Linked DNA regions of Mytilus edulis. The main gene of each other region encodes a partner of the protein of the gene in region 2 in a complex. Links are inferred from orthologs where the notes say so. Each region holds a gene or a part of one and is shown on either strand. Other genes may lie near its edges.

Evidence for each region.
Region 1: U4/U6 small nuclear ribonucleoprotein Prp4-like (region 2) and small nuclear ribonucleoprotein G-like share a complex: the UniProt entries of both Homo sapiens proteins name them as parts of the U4/U6-U5 tri-snRNP complex. The link is inferred for Mytilus edulis from reciprocal best matches to the Homo sapiens genes PRPF4 and SNRPG.

Annotation. Positions count from the first base shown.
Region 1 is NC_092347.1:25,799,342-25,806,970, forward strand, and holds the start of small nuclear ribonucleoprotein G-like, read right to left. Parts: upstream 3,192-7,629; 5' UTR 3,074-3,191; coding exon 3,042-3,073; intron 489-3,041; coding exon 466-488; intron 1-465. UniProt on the Homo sapiens protein: Plays a role in pre-mRNA splicing as a core component of the spliceosomal U1, U2, U4 and U5 small nuclear ribonucleoproteins (snRNPs), the building blocks of the spliceosome.
Region 2 is NC_092345.1:12,076,505-12,084,082, forward strand, and holds the start of U4/U6 small nuclear ribonucleoprotein Prp4-like, read right to left. Parts: upstream 3,322-7,578; 5' UTR 3,199-3,321; intron 1-3,198. UniProt on the Homo sapiens protein: Plays a role in pre-mRNA splicing as component of the U4/U6-U5 tri-snRNP complex that is involved in spliceosome assembly, and as component of the precatalytic spliceosome (spliceosome B complex).

The sequences.
Region 1 (7,629 bases), on a different chromosome or scaffold from region 2:
CACTATATTGTTATTTTAATATTTTTTTTCAATTTAAAATTTTTAAGCCTAGTGAAAAATCGATTGTTGGTCTCCCCATACCTGTACATATGAGTATTGTTAAGGCACGGCCAGCAGTTTTTATTTTATCTAATATAATATGTTTTTTTTTGGTGAAAAATCCGTTTTGCTCTTCTATTTCATCCCTTCATGATCAGTTAACTACTGATGTATGTCAATGTACATTCAGTAGGTTAGGTATATAAATGCACAGTAAAAGTTGGGAGTCAGAAATAAAAATCTGGTCTCTGACGGAATGCATGATACAGAGATTAGCAATACTCATAAAACCAGAGTTTTTGAGAACCCTGGAGATTACAGACATGTTACAATGGCCAATAAACCTTGATTTATAGCTAGAGGTAGTTATAAACAATTGTATGCAAGCATCAAATTTTTAAGTCATAAATCTTGTTGGCTACTTACAGCAAACTCTCTTTTCCATGAACCTGAAATAAAGGAACATCATATAATTATACATTTACAAGTTTAAATTCTGTGTACAAAGGTATTTGCAAACATCATCAAAAATATGACTGATAAACTGTTTTCATTCAAGACTTGTTTCATACCGAGCAGCTTAAAATTGGACCATCTGTATTTTGGATACCAATTCATCAGCAAGTCTCAGAGGGTGACAAACAGACCAAGAATGCTCAAAACCAATTTATTTTGGTGCATAGTTTAATTCACAGTTAACCCTAGCTGTGGAACCGTAGCTCTTAGGTCCTTATGGTTTTTTTAAACTATTTTGGTAGTGCATACCATATTGGCATAGATTATTTCCATTTGTATTCATTTTCCACCTACATGTATAATGTTCAGCCATTGCCCAGATTGAATCTTCTTGTGATGTCACACAAAACAAGAAAAGATAACTCTCATCACTCAGAGCTCAGACATAAACAAGTCATTTTTATCCCCCCCGACTTACAGTGAGTCAAAAATGCATTTTAATATGATTATTTATGTCTGAGCTCTGACTGCTTATAGTTAAACACGTTGGTTTGTTTTTTTGTATTTTATTTTGTTTTAATGACTTTTAGAATGAAAGACATTTAATTGAAATTTAGTACAACATAATAATAATCCTTCCCATATTGTTAGAATTATTGTTGTAACACTTGATTCTCACTTAGAAATAAGTGAATGAAGTCGGCTTCATATCTTGACTTACATCTAGAAATTGACAATGAGGGTCGGTTGAAAACAAAACTTTACGACAAAAGAGATGATTTCAGCTTTCCAATTGTGAACTTTCCATTTCTAAGTAGCAACATTCCAGCAGCACCTGCATACGGGGTATATACCTCCCAATTGATACGATATTCCCAAGCTTGCATTTCCTATCATGATTTTCTTGAGAGGGTTACTGCTCACAAGGAAGCTATTAAACCAAGAGTTCCAAATGGTGAAGTTGAAATCATCCCTTCATAAATTTTACGGACACCATCACAAGTTGGTTGACCGGTATGGAATAACCATTTCACAAATGATATCAGATATGTTCCTTATGTCGTAACTACAATCCCCTTCCCTTTCATGAATGTGACCTACCGAATTAGACTATTTTCTGGATTTGTAATCACATAAGCAACACGACGGGTGCCACATGTGGAGCAGGATCTGCTTACCCTTCCAGAACACCTGAGATCACCCCTAGTTTTTGGTGGGGTTTGTATTGTTTATTCTTTAGTTTTCTATGTTGTCATGTGTACTATTGTTTTTCTGGGTTTTTTTTCCATTTTTAGCCATGGCGTTGTCAGTTTGTTTTAGATTTATGAGTTTGACTGTCCCTTTGGTATCTTTCATCCCTCTTTTAGAAATAAGATAACCAAACCAACATGTGTTTTCCTTTTTGTGTAGGCGGTCCTCTCTTCCAACATAGGAGATCGAGGATATTATTAGAGTTATCTTTTCTTGTTTATCATTACGTCATGTTTTCAAGTTAAGATTTGTCTGGGTTTTTTTACAAGATGTTTCTGCAATGAAGCCAGTGCGGTCTTGTAGTTGTACCACTTTGGCCATGTAGGCATGTAATAGATAAAATTTACATGTAGTCTCTCATACTTATATACATTGGACTATATATGTGCGGATTTGTGTTATTTAGTTTTAGAAAAAAGTTTAAACGAGGCTTCACTTATTTAGATACTACTGATGCATTTCAAACGTGTTCTTTTGTAAATTTAATGTCTTAATTGAAATAGAAAAGGGAAGTCCCTGGAAACAATAATAAAACTAGGTTAAAAATTTAAACTTTTATCAACACCAGAAAACTGCCATAAAAACAAAAAAATATAACCTCCCTTTTCACGACTTTTACCCAATCTGTAAAGTTTAAGGGTCTTATTATAAATAAGGCTGTGTAAGTGACATGAATAAATGCACTAGTATATAACCCTATGAGTATAGTATCCTAAAAGATCCTTAAAGATCGCCGCTGCAAAGACCGACTCACCATGGCATACAAGATCCGCAATAGATTGGTGGATATTGACCCCTCTAATTATTACAAACCCGGAGATTCAAGGACCAGAGGAGGCCACCGCATACACCAACAGCGCACTCTAAAAGACCAATACAGGTACTCCTTCTTCCCAAGATCAACCAGGGAATGGAACACTCTACCGGAAAAAGCCACAACAGCAGCTACACTAGAAGAGTTCAAGGCCAGCCTTACCATCCTGCCAGAGGCCTTGACAGGAGCTTCACACACCTAGATCTCCTTTGACCCCAGATGTACATAGTTTTATTTGTAAATAATTTTCCTGTAAATAGTTTTTATTAAGTGAGGAGGGAAGGCCTCATGATTTCACGAGCAAGAGTCATTTATACACTCAAGAAGAGTCCGACTCTGTACTGAAAGAAGAAGAAGAAGAAGTGAAAGAAGGCAAATAATTTCTTTTGAAAATTATAGAGGCACAAATCACGAAATGTCTTGTAATTTGGGTCTTTAAATGTCCTGGAAACACATACAAATAATTTCAGTCGTGACTTACTTTTTCAATTCTGGAGGATGAGCCTTACTCATTGTGATTAACAAGGATTATTGTCGGCAGAGCCGGCAAACAACAAAAATAGATAATGGCGGAAAAAGCGTTCCGGAAACGACAGTCGAACGATAAAACACAGAGTCGATACCGGCAATACTATATTTAAGAATTTCCGGATTCTCTCTTTTCACATGCTGAAAATTAAGGATTTATAGTCCATTTGAAAATTACTACAAAGTAGTCTGAATCAGGGAGATATAACAACCTTTATGCCTTATTGCGTACCCTTTTCTGTGACTAATATTCTTTTCAATACATTTAGATTTTGTTTTTAAACTTGTCTTTTTGCGGAAAAAAATACATGTTTTATCACAATCCACATTAATTGACTACGTCATGAAATTTGATGCACAATAAATCAGCGCCATTGGACAAGGAAATTTTGAAGAAAAATCCAAAATATACAATTTTTGCGTAGAAAATTACATCAAAGCAAAAAAAGTGAGCAATACAAAAGTTTCCTTTATTGTGTTATGCACCGGATTGCATAGACATTAATTTGAAAATGAGTTGCCATACACAATAACTTCAACTACAATGACTTATGACGTTTTTGGATGCTGTTTTATTTGTTATAGTGGTTTCTTTTATTTTTTGCATCAACAGTTTCCAGTCGTATAAGGGCACAAATCCTTTTTTATGTCGTAGACGTCATTATAAAAATATCCAGCAGATCATAGTTAGCTCTTTTGGTCCGAATCCATGACAAATCGCCCCACTGGCAAATAGCCCCACACCTAATCGCCCCACTTTTTCACAAACTCGCCCCACTTTCTAAAAAAACGCCCCACTCTTGTTTACCAACTCGCCCCACTTATGAAAAGGGTAAACTCCCATTGCAAATAGTTATGATAACATGCTCCCCTTATGAAAAGGGTTAAAATCCCGCTGAAATACGGTCTGTCAACTTTCAGCCCCACTCATGACAAATAGATAAACCACATATAAAAAAGATGCAATCCCGTTGTATATCTTTGTCCCTGCCCACGTCATTACCTTTAAACACCAAAGTGAAGTGCTATAAAATCAAATTGCTGTTAAAAACTCTGTTTTTGCAATAAAGTTATATATAAATGTTAATCACGCATCAATAGTATGATTATGATACAATTAACAGGTTTCTTTTCAATTGTTATACAAATAACTAAGCTTACAAGTATAAAGTTATTCTCCAATAATGATACAAAAATGTAATTGCAATTATATTTTAAAAATGTTAAAAAAGTTTAATAAATTTCGTTTTTTTTTTTTGTATTCTGTGTAGATTACAAAAATCAAAATAAGTCTTCATTTAAGTGCGGCTAGTTGGTAGACCTGAAAATTACATATATAGAAGTAGATTTTTCCCTTTTTTCAATAAGTGGGGCGAGTTGACAGGGGAAAATTAACTGGATTTAACCCTTTTCACAAGTGAGGCGATTTTTTTTTAAAGTGGGGCGAGTTGGTTAACCAGGTTGGGGCGATTTTTTTGATTTTTTTAATGGTGGGGCGAGTTGGTGAAAAAGTGGGGCGTTTTGCCAGGGGGCGATTTGTCCTGCTTCCTTTGATCCTATGCCAAAAGCCAAATAAATATCAGTGGGTAGAATCCATGAAAAAGGGTACAACTTCACGGTATCAGGTTCGTTCGCGCCCAATACACTTTCGCACCCTACACGTTCGCACCTCGCATGTTCGCACCCAAGGTTCGTTCGCACTTTACACGTTCGCGCCCAATTATAATTCAAATTCCAGTAGAATAATTGGAAAATCATGATTGTTGTTATTAATTGCTTTGGTGTAAGTAAAACATTCAAGATTTTAAATGAAAAACACAAAAGATAATTGTTTTTAACAGCTTGGTCCCTTCGATCTTAAACAATAAAATATAGCAATACACTTTTATAACCATAACATGATAAAAAAATTTCAACACACAAAAAAAAATCGTAGTCAGAATCTCACTTTATTTTGAAACAAGTCAATGAAATAAAGTTATGGCAATACACTAACCAAAACATGATTAAGAGTTATTCAACACAAAATAAAACGTTGACAGAATCCCACTTTATTTAGAAAGGATTATTTATTATTTTTAACAATACACTATCCAAAACATGATAGATATATTCAACACAAAAAAAAAATGCTGTCTCACTTTATTTTGAGACAATGACAACAAATATAAGAATACACTTGCCAAAACTTGATTACAAAGCTACACAAAACCAATTAAAATTGGGCGCGAACATGTAGGGTGCGAAAGTGAAAGGGGGTGAACATGAGTGGGCGCGAACGGACCCGGATTCCAACTTCACTACAAGTCGAATCAGCACCGGTACCTCGAATGACTGAATAACACTAATAATGACTGAATAACACTTGAAATTTAATATTAGCAAATATTGGTGACTTTTAAACATTGATTATTAAATAACAGTATACTGTCGATGCATTTTACCAAATATCATGCAAAATGCTCAAATGTTGAAAACTTTGAATACTAATTAAGTTGAACAAAAAAAATACATACAGAAACCCTCCAAAAATGTCAATGAGTCAATACTGTGAATACAACTTTTTGCTTAAAATACTGAACAAAACATATGTTAAACATATCTTTCATGGGTGCCGAAATGACTATATCAGGTGCTGATTTAACCAGGTGCCAAATTGACTAGGTGCTGATTTGACTGTACTGGAGGCTCCCACAGGGTACCCCCCTCAGGTCGCAAGGTCACTTTTAAATTCGTCGTTAGGTCGCGCAGTCGTTTTTAAGACAAAAGTACAGGTCGCAGGTCGATTTTTCCAACATAGAGGACGCAAGTTGTTTTTATATTTAAAGGATCCATTCAAGTCATTGGTGTGTTATTAAACCAGGGACATATATGTTCTTGGTTAAACCTTTTAGTTTTAAATAAGATATTTGAACATTTTGCCACATGCTTTTGGGTTCAGTTGTTCTTGTTTTGTTTGAGACCATCCAGAGATGGCTGTCTGTAAGTGGGAAGTTCCTGCTCTATTGAAGTTGGTGTCGTCAGCTCTAGATTTAATTTTGTGTAACATTTAATGATCAATATGTGATGTCTTCGTGTCATTAAGGGTATTTATAAACCCATATCCGTTCTTTTCCATATTGAGACCAAAACAGGACTTGAACTTTTCGATTTTTCAAAACAGTAGTTTTAACCAAACATTCAGTATTTCACTAATCCTACACAATATTGTCTTCTTCCACATACTGCCTGCATTCAACTTTCAGAATATACTGGCAAATTGGTTCTGCATGGTTAAAAACAAGATAGGTAGGTCATTTCAGATTTGAAAGTCTCAAATGACTGTGCTGTGTCGATCTCCGGGGGAAGCTTGTTCCAGTCTTTTGTGGTGTTCACACAGAGGGACCATTTCCTGCAGTCGTTGGTTCGTTGCACCATGTATCCATGTAGTTTCTGTTGTGTACGTTTTGATATTCTAGTTTGTCTTTGGAGGTACATGTCTTTGCTGATGGCTACTTTGTCGTTGACGATCTTGTACATCATTGCGAGCCTGACCTCTCTGCGTCAATCTTGGAGGCTCAGACTTTTCCAACCCAATTTGTTCATCATGTCTGGGACACTTGATCTGTTTCTGTGGTGCTTGGTGACGTATCTTGCAGCCCTCATTTGAACTTTTTCAATTTGGTCAATATGATTTTGATGATATGGGTCCAATATGGTTGTGGTGTATTCTAGTTGGGGCGTTACTAGAGTTTTGAATGCTTGCTCTTTGATGGTTATAGCCGATTTGTAGGTTTTGTGGAGGAAATCATGGCTTCTGCTGGCTTTGCTAGTAATGTTGTTGATGTGTTATCCCCAGTCTTACCCCAGGGAAAGTTTTTGACCAAATATTAAAGGGGATTTATCTTGAGTTACTGGACAGGATGATAATTTGTTGCTTCATATTTCATTGTATTTCTGAAAGGATTTCATCTGAATATGAAAGATGGAATTTTGGGCTATAGATATTTTATTTTGAATAATGTTGCATACATTATGCCTCCAAAAATAAACAACATATGGGCATCACTATATTTGTTGTTATTTTCATTGTTTTATTATGATGTATACTAAATGGAAAAATTGCTAAATTTATCGTTTCCATTCTCTAACTTTAGTTTGCCTCAAACAAATATTATAATACTTTGCACAATGATAATTACCACAAAACACAGATCAAGTTTGAAATTTGGAGGCGTCACTTTTATCGTTCTCCTGTTCTGCTTCTTTTGCAAATGGAAAAATTGCAGGATTTTTTGTTTTTGTTTTCTAACTTAGGTTTACCTTAATTAATTGTTATAAAATGTAAACACAATGCTTATTATCACAAAACTCAAATCAAGTACAAATTTGGGTATTATCACTTTTACAGTTCTTGAGTTATGTCCCTTTATAACATTATATGCAAGCAGGGGCACATTCTGCATAATTTATTTATTTAAGATTATTATTGATTTTCTTCAAAATGGATTGGTTAAAATATCTTTGATAATAAGAGTTATTTTCTCTGGAAAAAAACATAA
Region 2 (7,578 bases):
TTTAAAGACGAGTAGCAGGAGTATTCAAACAAAGTGGAGTGTTTGAAACCTGTTGAGAAGATATAAATAGTTTCGGTTCCGTAGAAGTTGTATAAACAGGGTTAGTGCTAAGGTTTTGCGTTCCACATCTCTCACTATTGCAGTGAGTGTTTGCTGTTAAACCATACCTTAGTGCTACCCTGTTCCAACAGTTTTATAAATATATTTCAATAAAGTTTCATACGTACAAAGTTTACAACAGTTTGAATAGTTTCCATACATTCGTTTTATTCAGGTTTCAGCCCGTTTGATACATTTCGGTTCAGCCGGTTTGATACATTAAGGTTTAGTCCCGTTTTTAAACATTTAGGTTCCAGACAGGTTCCAAATATTTAGGTTCCAGACAGGTTCCAAACATTTAGGTTTCAGACAATAGTTCCAAACCGTCTGAACCGTTTCAAACATTTAGGTTCCAGACAGGTTCCAAACATTTAGGTTTCAGACAATAGTTCCAAACCGTCTGACCAGTTTCAATCATTTAGGTTCCAGACAGGTTCCAAACATTTAGGTTCCAGACCAGTTTTATACATTTAGGTTTCAAACCAGTTCTATACATTTAGGTTCCAGACTATAGTTTCAAACAGTTGGTTTTAAACAGTATCGGACAGAAAGGGTTTTAAACAGTTTTGATTCAACAAGTTCGGATTAGGTTGATAGGTGTTGAAATTCGTTTTATGTATTATAGTATTTGTTTCATATTTGATAGAGATAGTGTAAACATTTAATTGACTTTAGAACTTTTGAAATGCTTTTCAAATCCAGGAAACTGGTACGAACCCGAGGATAAAAATATCTAAACGTCCCCGCCCGGTTACACGTTACAAATGGTGGCTCAGCGGTGGGATTTGTCGAGCATTTCTGTTTAGTATTTTGTGATTGTCTATGACTGTCCGTCCGTCGGATGGGGACCTTAAATCCGAGGTCCCGTGTTCAGGAAGTACCACATCCTGTGCACGTTAAAGAACCCTTTACAACAACTCTAATTGAGGGGTCCGTAAGTGGCCTGTTGTGAGGCAAAATTGTTTTAAACTGGTTTTTGGCAACACAACTTTTCAAGTGGTACTCAAAATATTATATTTGAAACGGTTATATCTGGTCAAAATTTAATTTAAGTTCAGTATTCAGTTGCTTGTACAAATATGAATTAAAGTAGGATATTTTGAAAATAGAAAGTTAACAAACAAAACAGAAAGAACATGCAAGTCGAAAGAGGCTGACAGGAACCCCGGAACTGTGAGTAGGCTAAGGTACCCCTAGGTCTGACGTTTGTCAACAGATTGTTGTAGGAAAGCCATTAGTTGGTTATCATGGTATAACCCTCGGTGTACAAACAGTTGCTGGGAGAGATATTCTGCGGAATGAGTGGATACATTGAGGTTTAAAGTAGAACCTTGGTATGGTGTCAGCTAGTTTTAACGAGAACAGTTTTGATTGTGTTTTGATTAAGTCAGTATAAAATTGTAAAACTCATGCGAGGACGCATGAAATCGGAGGCGTGGGTAGTGTTACGAATTTGCAGTTTAAGAAGGTTATAATAGTTCTACAGTTATATATTTTCCGATATTTCTATTAGTTTCCCATATCATCCGTTCATCGTTGAAAACTGTATCTAAAATCATCCCTTTATCCTTGGTTGCTATCAGACGCTTACCTGTACAGTTGTTACTAGGGTGCTCTCTTCGAGGTCCGCGTTAGAAGTATAAATAGTGGTTAGCTTATCCAGTGTAAATTGTCATTCTTATCGGAGACGTCGGAAGAAGAAGATTAAAAAGGTAGGACCGTTAATATTTAAAGACGAGTAGCAGGAGTATTCAAACAAAGTGGAGTGTTTGAAACCTGTTGAGAAGATATAAATAGTTTCGGTTCCGTAGAAGTTGTATAAACAGGGTTAGTGCTAAGGTTTTGCGTTCCACATCTCTCACTATTGCAGTGAGTGTTTGCTGTTAAACCATACCTTAGTGCTACCCTGTTCCAACAGTTTTATAAATATATTTCAATAAAGTTTCATACGTACAAAGTTTACAACAGTTTGAATAGTTTCCATACATTCGTTTTATTCAGGTTTCAGCCCGTTTGATACATTTCGGTTCAGCCGGTTTGATACATTAAGGTTTAGTCCCGTTTTTAAACATTTAGGTTCCAGACAGGTTCCAAATATTTAGGTTCCAGACAGGTTCCAAACATTTAGGTTTCAGACAATAGTTCCAAACCGTCTGAACCGTTTCAAACATTTAGGTTCCAGACAGGTTCCAAACATTTAGGTTTCAGACAATAGTTCCAAACCGTCTGACCAGTTTCAATCATTTAGGTTCCAGACAGGTTCCAAACATTTAGGTTCCAGACCAGTTTTATACATTTAGGTTTCAAACCAGTTCTATACATTTAGGTTCCAGACTATAGTTTCAAACAGTTGGTTTTAAACAGTATCGGACAGAAAGGGTTTTAAACAGTTTTGATTCAACAAGTTCGGATTAGGTTGATAGGTGTTGAAATTCGTTTTATGTATTATAGTATTTGTTTCATATTTGATAGAGATAGTGTAAACATTTAATTGACTTTAGAACTTTTGAAATGCTTTTCAAATCCAGGAAACTGGTACGAACCCGAGGATAAAAATATCTAAACGTCCCCGCCCGGTTACACGTTACAGTTACCTTTATAAATTGGGCGCGAACGTGTATGGTGCGAACAGACTTCGGGGGCGAACAAGTGAGGTGCGAACGTGTAGGGTGAGAAAGTATATTGGGCGCGAACGGACCTGATACTATAATAAATAATAAATAAATAAGCTTTATTTAGAGTCGGCATGGTATATAAAACATAGACAAACATAAGCTCTAATGAGCTTTTAACCGACATAATATATACCCCATGGAACCATATATCCAATGGCAAATCATCGGCAAATGGGATGTCAGGTAAAATTACCTAACCCACAAGTTCTTAGGGAAAAAACTAAATGTCATTTAATGAAAGAGGGTCATTTCCAAACTGTCTTGACTTTAACATTGAAATCTAAAAATCATCTCTTTACTATAGACTTTTATTTAATCATTAATGAGCGAGATACATGACAAAAGATCGCTAGGACACCCATTAGAGTAACAAGCAATACCATTGTTTAAATTATTTGATGTTTGGTGATTTTTTTTAACTTACGGTTTGAATTTATAACAGAAAATTACTGGAAAAATACGCTAAAACTGCGCTTTTTTTCGATACATGGGCGCAGACATATTGGATTTGGAACTTCCGGTTTCTCGATCAAGCCAAGATTCAAACGAAAGTTGACAAAAGATGAATAATAACGAACTGTTTTTGTTAAACATTTCCGAATGTCAATGTGAGATGTGAACGCCACCTATTCTGTATAAATGTTAATAAATATCTTACTTAAAAAATTGAACGCACCCAATATTGATTTGTTCCGCATACCTTACCTGTTACCTGTTACCTAGTCTTTATCTTCCTCCTCTAGCAGGAGCTTCGCTTCTATAGCGTACTTCTTATTTGCACCCTTATTAATTGCGCCCTAACCCTTGCACACGGGGCACTCAAAAAATCAGTTATACATGTACAAAGTTATTATAACATTAACATATATACAGCATGCGGACTAATACATCACCATGTAAACGAAGTTAACTATATATTTTACACAAAATAATGGAAGTTCCAATGGAAACTTAATTTGTTATACACATTGTCATTATAGCTTTAGTACAGATATTCCTAAATTTGCATTGTTAAGCGCTTTCTAAATAGTTAAAGCCCGCCACATTCCGACTGTATGTTCTGGTCTAAAGTTGTTGTGTAAACAATTTTTATTTGCGCTCAGGATAGGAATGAAGTTTTAAGGTAACCGTTACGCTTTTCATTCTTTGGACGTTATGAAACTTGGACACACGCCTCAGTTTTAAAGATCAATAAATGGCAAAGAAAAACAGATGTTTGCCCAAATGATACCCCCCCCCCCCCCCCCATGGATGCAATCGAAGACGATACCCAGGATTCTCTAAAATTTTCAAATATATTTAATTATTCTATGTGTTTTTACTCTTATCAATTCGATCTTGTAATAACTGTAGTTTATATGTGCTGTCCCTCTATTCTTAATTTCCGTAAGCGGTACATTTTTTTAAGATCGTATGAGTAAGAAAAAGAACACATTGAATAAGTGAATAATTTATATCTAAGACATAGTTATAGTACGACTTTTGACATAAAATAAAAGAACCTCATATAGTAACTACTATTGATGAGAAATATGACAGAAACTAAGGGTAAAACTCTTATGAGCCAAATATCTGAAAATAAGTTTTTGACTCATTTATATGATATGATATCGACCTCAACTGTTGTAAGCTATTCTGTTTTTTTTTTTCCAGTAAATTATCATTCAGAATCTATATAGCAGAAACAGCCAGGACATACCATACTACTATCAATCAAATTTCGAGAGATTTGGGACAACAGACGGACGAGAAAATAAAATAAGTGCAACAGAAACCGTCGTATACGAATACAGCCGGAATAAAAAATAGTACACACACCAAAACAAGTAACAAAATTTGTCCCAAAAAGTTAGGCATATTTTGCTCCGCATGTAACTCCCAATGGCATCCAGACCAAAAATGAGAAAGAACCTTGCTATTCAGGACAATAAATGCATGTCATTGTATGGTTTAAACGACATAAAACCAAAAGGTAAGTTATCTTATTACCCAGAGTCTAGAAACAGGAACACTGAATTTGTGGTGATTGGGTTACGATTATTACTATTGATCGCCACGATATATTCCGTATTTGCTTAGACGGCGTAAACCAAACACCAATCAATCAATAGATAATAATGAAAAAGCATCTGCGGTCGTCTTATGGCCGTCTTAAGGGTTTGATTATTCGACAGAATAAAACGTTTTTACAGTTATAATCAGGATAGAAATGTAGCATTATTTTGTAAATTCGGGTTCCTCTGTACAAACTTTATCCTGTCACCGAATAATTCAATGCTAGGAATCGGTTTAATACGATGACTTATCCTAGACAGTTATCAAAGGTATCAGGCTGATAATTTAATACGCCAGACACGCGTTTCGTGTACAAAGACTCGTCAGTGACGCTCAGATCAAAATAGTTATAATGCCAAACAAGTAGAAAGTTGAAGAGCATTGAGGACCTAAAATTCCAAATAGTTATACCAAATACGGCTAAATTAATCGATGCCTGTGATAAGAAAATCCTAAAGTATTTCGAAAAAAAATAATACTTTTTAAAACAGTAAATTTATTAAAGAAAACAAAGACCACCTACACTGATGCCCAGTTGCAACTTAGCTTTGCGACAAAAGAGATAACAATATTTTTCGCATTTTGCATTTATAAAGTAACATTTAAACAGCACCGCAATAAACAGAATCAACAGGCCATTCTGTTTTACAGCCTGTGAAACAACTTGTGATGTCATATTGTTTAGTGCTGATAACATTATTTGCTTGTTTTGTTAGAAACAGAAGACGAATACAAAACTATTTCAAATTATTATTTTTCAAATAGAAAAATTATACTTACACAACTTTCCCAAACACGAGTGCATTTCTAATTTCTAAACTCCCTAAACCACAATCCCAATTTCATATGTGTTATGTTTGATGGAGAGGTAATTGAAGCGAAATTTATATCGAATTTGCAAATCGTTTATCAAATGAGATGCAGTTTCCTTTGAATCAAGCCATAAGTCACTAAACCAATGGAAAACATAAATAAAGAAGGTTCTCCAAATAGAAAGAGTGAATGGTGTAAAAACCAAATAATCAAAATGTCACAGAAATGATCGATACACTCATTGTATATACCAAACAAATTTATACCAGAAGCGCGTATTGTCTACAACAAAATCATCATTGACGCTCGAATCAGAAAGGTTAATAATCCAAATAAAGTACGAAGTGGAAGAGCATTGATGATCTAACATTTCCGAAGGTTCAACCCGCCATTTGTTTCCTAGACAAGTCAGGAATATGACAGGTGTTAACAAATAGTTCGTTAGTTTAAACATATTTATTTATAGTGGATTGGGAAACAAGTTTGAACAACTTATAATAATCCTTTTCTCATTTGATGGTGCGAGTGCTGCCTTGTAGCGGCATTAGTCTGCTCTTTTCGTAATCTACAAGGATGTATTACGCGCATGAGAGTTACACAAACTGTTGTTTGCTATCTATTTTAGTTCGTTTCCATACATCTTGGCGTTTGTTTTTGTTGCACTTCAGTGTTCCTTTGTTCTTCTCTTATATATAGTTGACTGATGTGTTTCCCTGTGTTTGTGTAACCTGGATTTGTTTCCTCTCAATTAATTTATGACTTTTGAACACCGGAATACTACTGTTGCCTTTAAATTGCCAAACACAGAATAAGTAATCTATTTCTGGCGTAGAAAATCGTTAGTATTTCGGATAATTCAAAGTGTATAAACAGTTAATTCATAGTTATGACCATATCAGTGATAATCCGGATCAACACAGAAGTGCTAGACTACAGGGCTGGTGATACCATCAAGAAGATATTTGTCGTTTAGGGATAGAAAAGATGTGCTTTTACAGTTTTGTAAATCAAATGCAGGAAAAGTGGAATTTTGACGGGATGTTACACATCACAAACATAAGTGTTTGCTAATTATCTTAGTTTGTGTTGAATTCAAAAAGTTTTTTATGTCAGTATTTCCTTGATAAAGTTTAAAAAGGTTTCAACAGCTTATGTTTGCATGTTGTCTTGTATATAAAGATTTGTAATTGAGCTTTATGTCGTATATCGCAGGTCTTATGATAAGGTTATTGTTGTGCTTCTCAATCAGTTGTTTCTGTCAAATGGTTTGTTTAACTTTTGTTCTCATTTCGATACTTTTCTTTTTGCAACGGCCTTACCTGAAGATACACGATTTCTGCTCCATTAGTGCTACATGTCAAGTTGCTGACACTCAGTTAAAATTTGAAGATAAAATGCATACGGTTAAGGCAAACAAATCAAAGACAACTGCCGATCACAATATATAGCATTCAAAAAGAGGGACGAAAGATACCAAAGGGACAGTCAAACTCATAAATCTAAAACAAACTGACAACGCCAAGGCTAAAAATCAAAATGACAAACAAACAACAGCACACACGACACAACATAGAAAACTAAAGAATAAACAACACGAACCCCACCAAAAAACTAGGGGTGATCTCAGATGCTCCGGAAGGGTAAGCAGATCCTGCTCCACATGCAGCACCCGTCGTGTTGCTTATGTGATAACAAATCCGGTAAATAGTCTAATTCGGTAGGTCACATTCACGAAAGGGGAGGGGATTGTAGTTACGACGTAAGGAACATATCCGATATCATTTGTGAAACGGTTATTCCATAACGGTCAACCAACTCGTGATGGCGTCCGTAAAATTTAAGAAGGGATGATTTCAACTTCACCATTTGGAACTCTTGGTTCAATAGCTTCCTTGTGAGCAGCAACCCTCTATTAAGAAAATCATGATAGGAAATG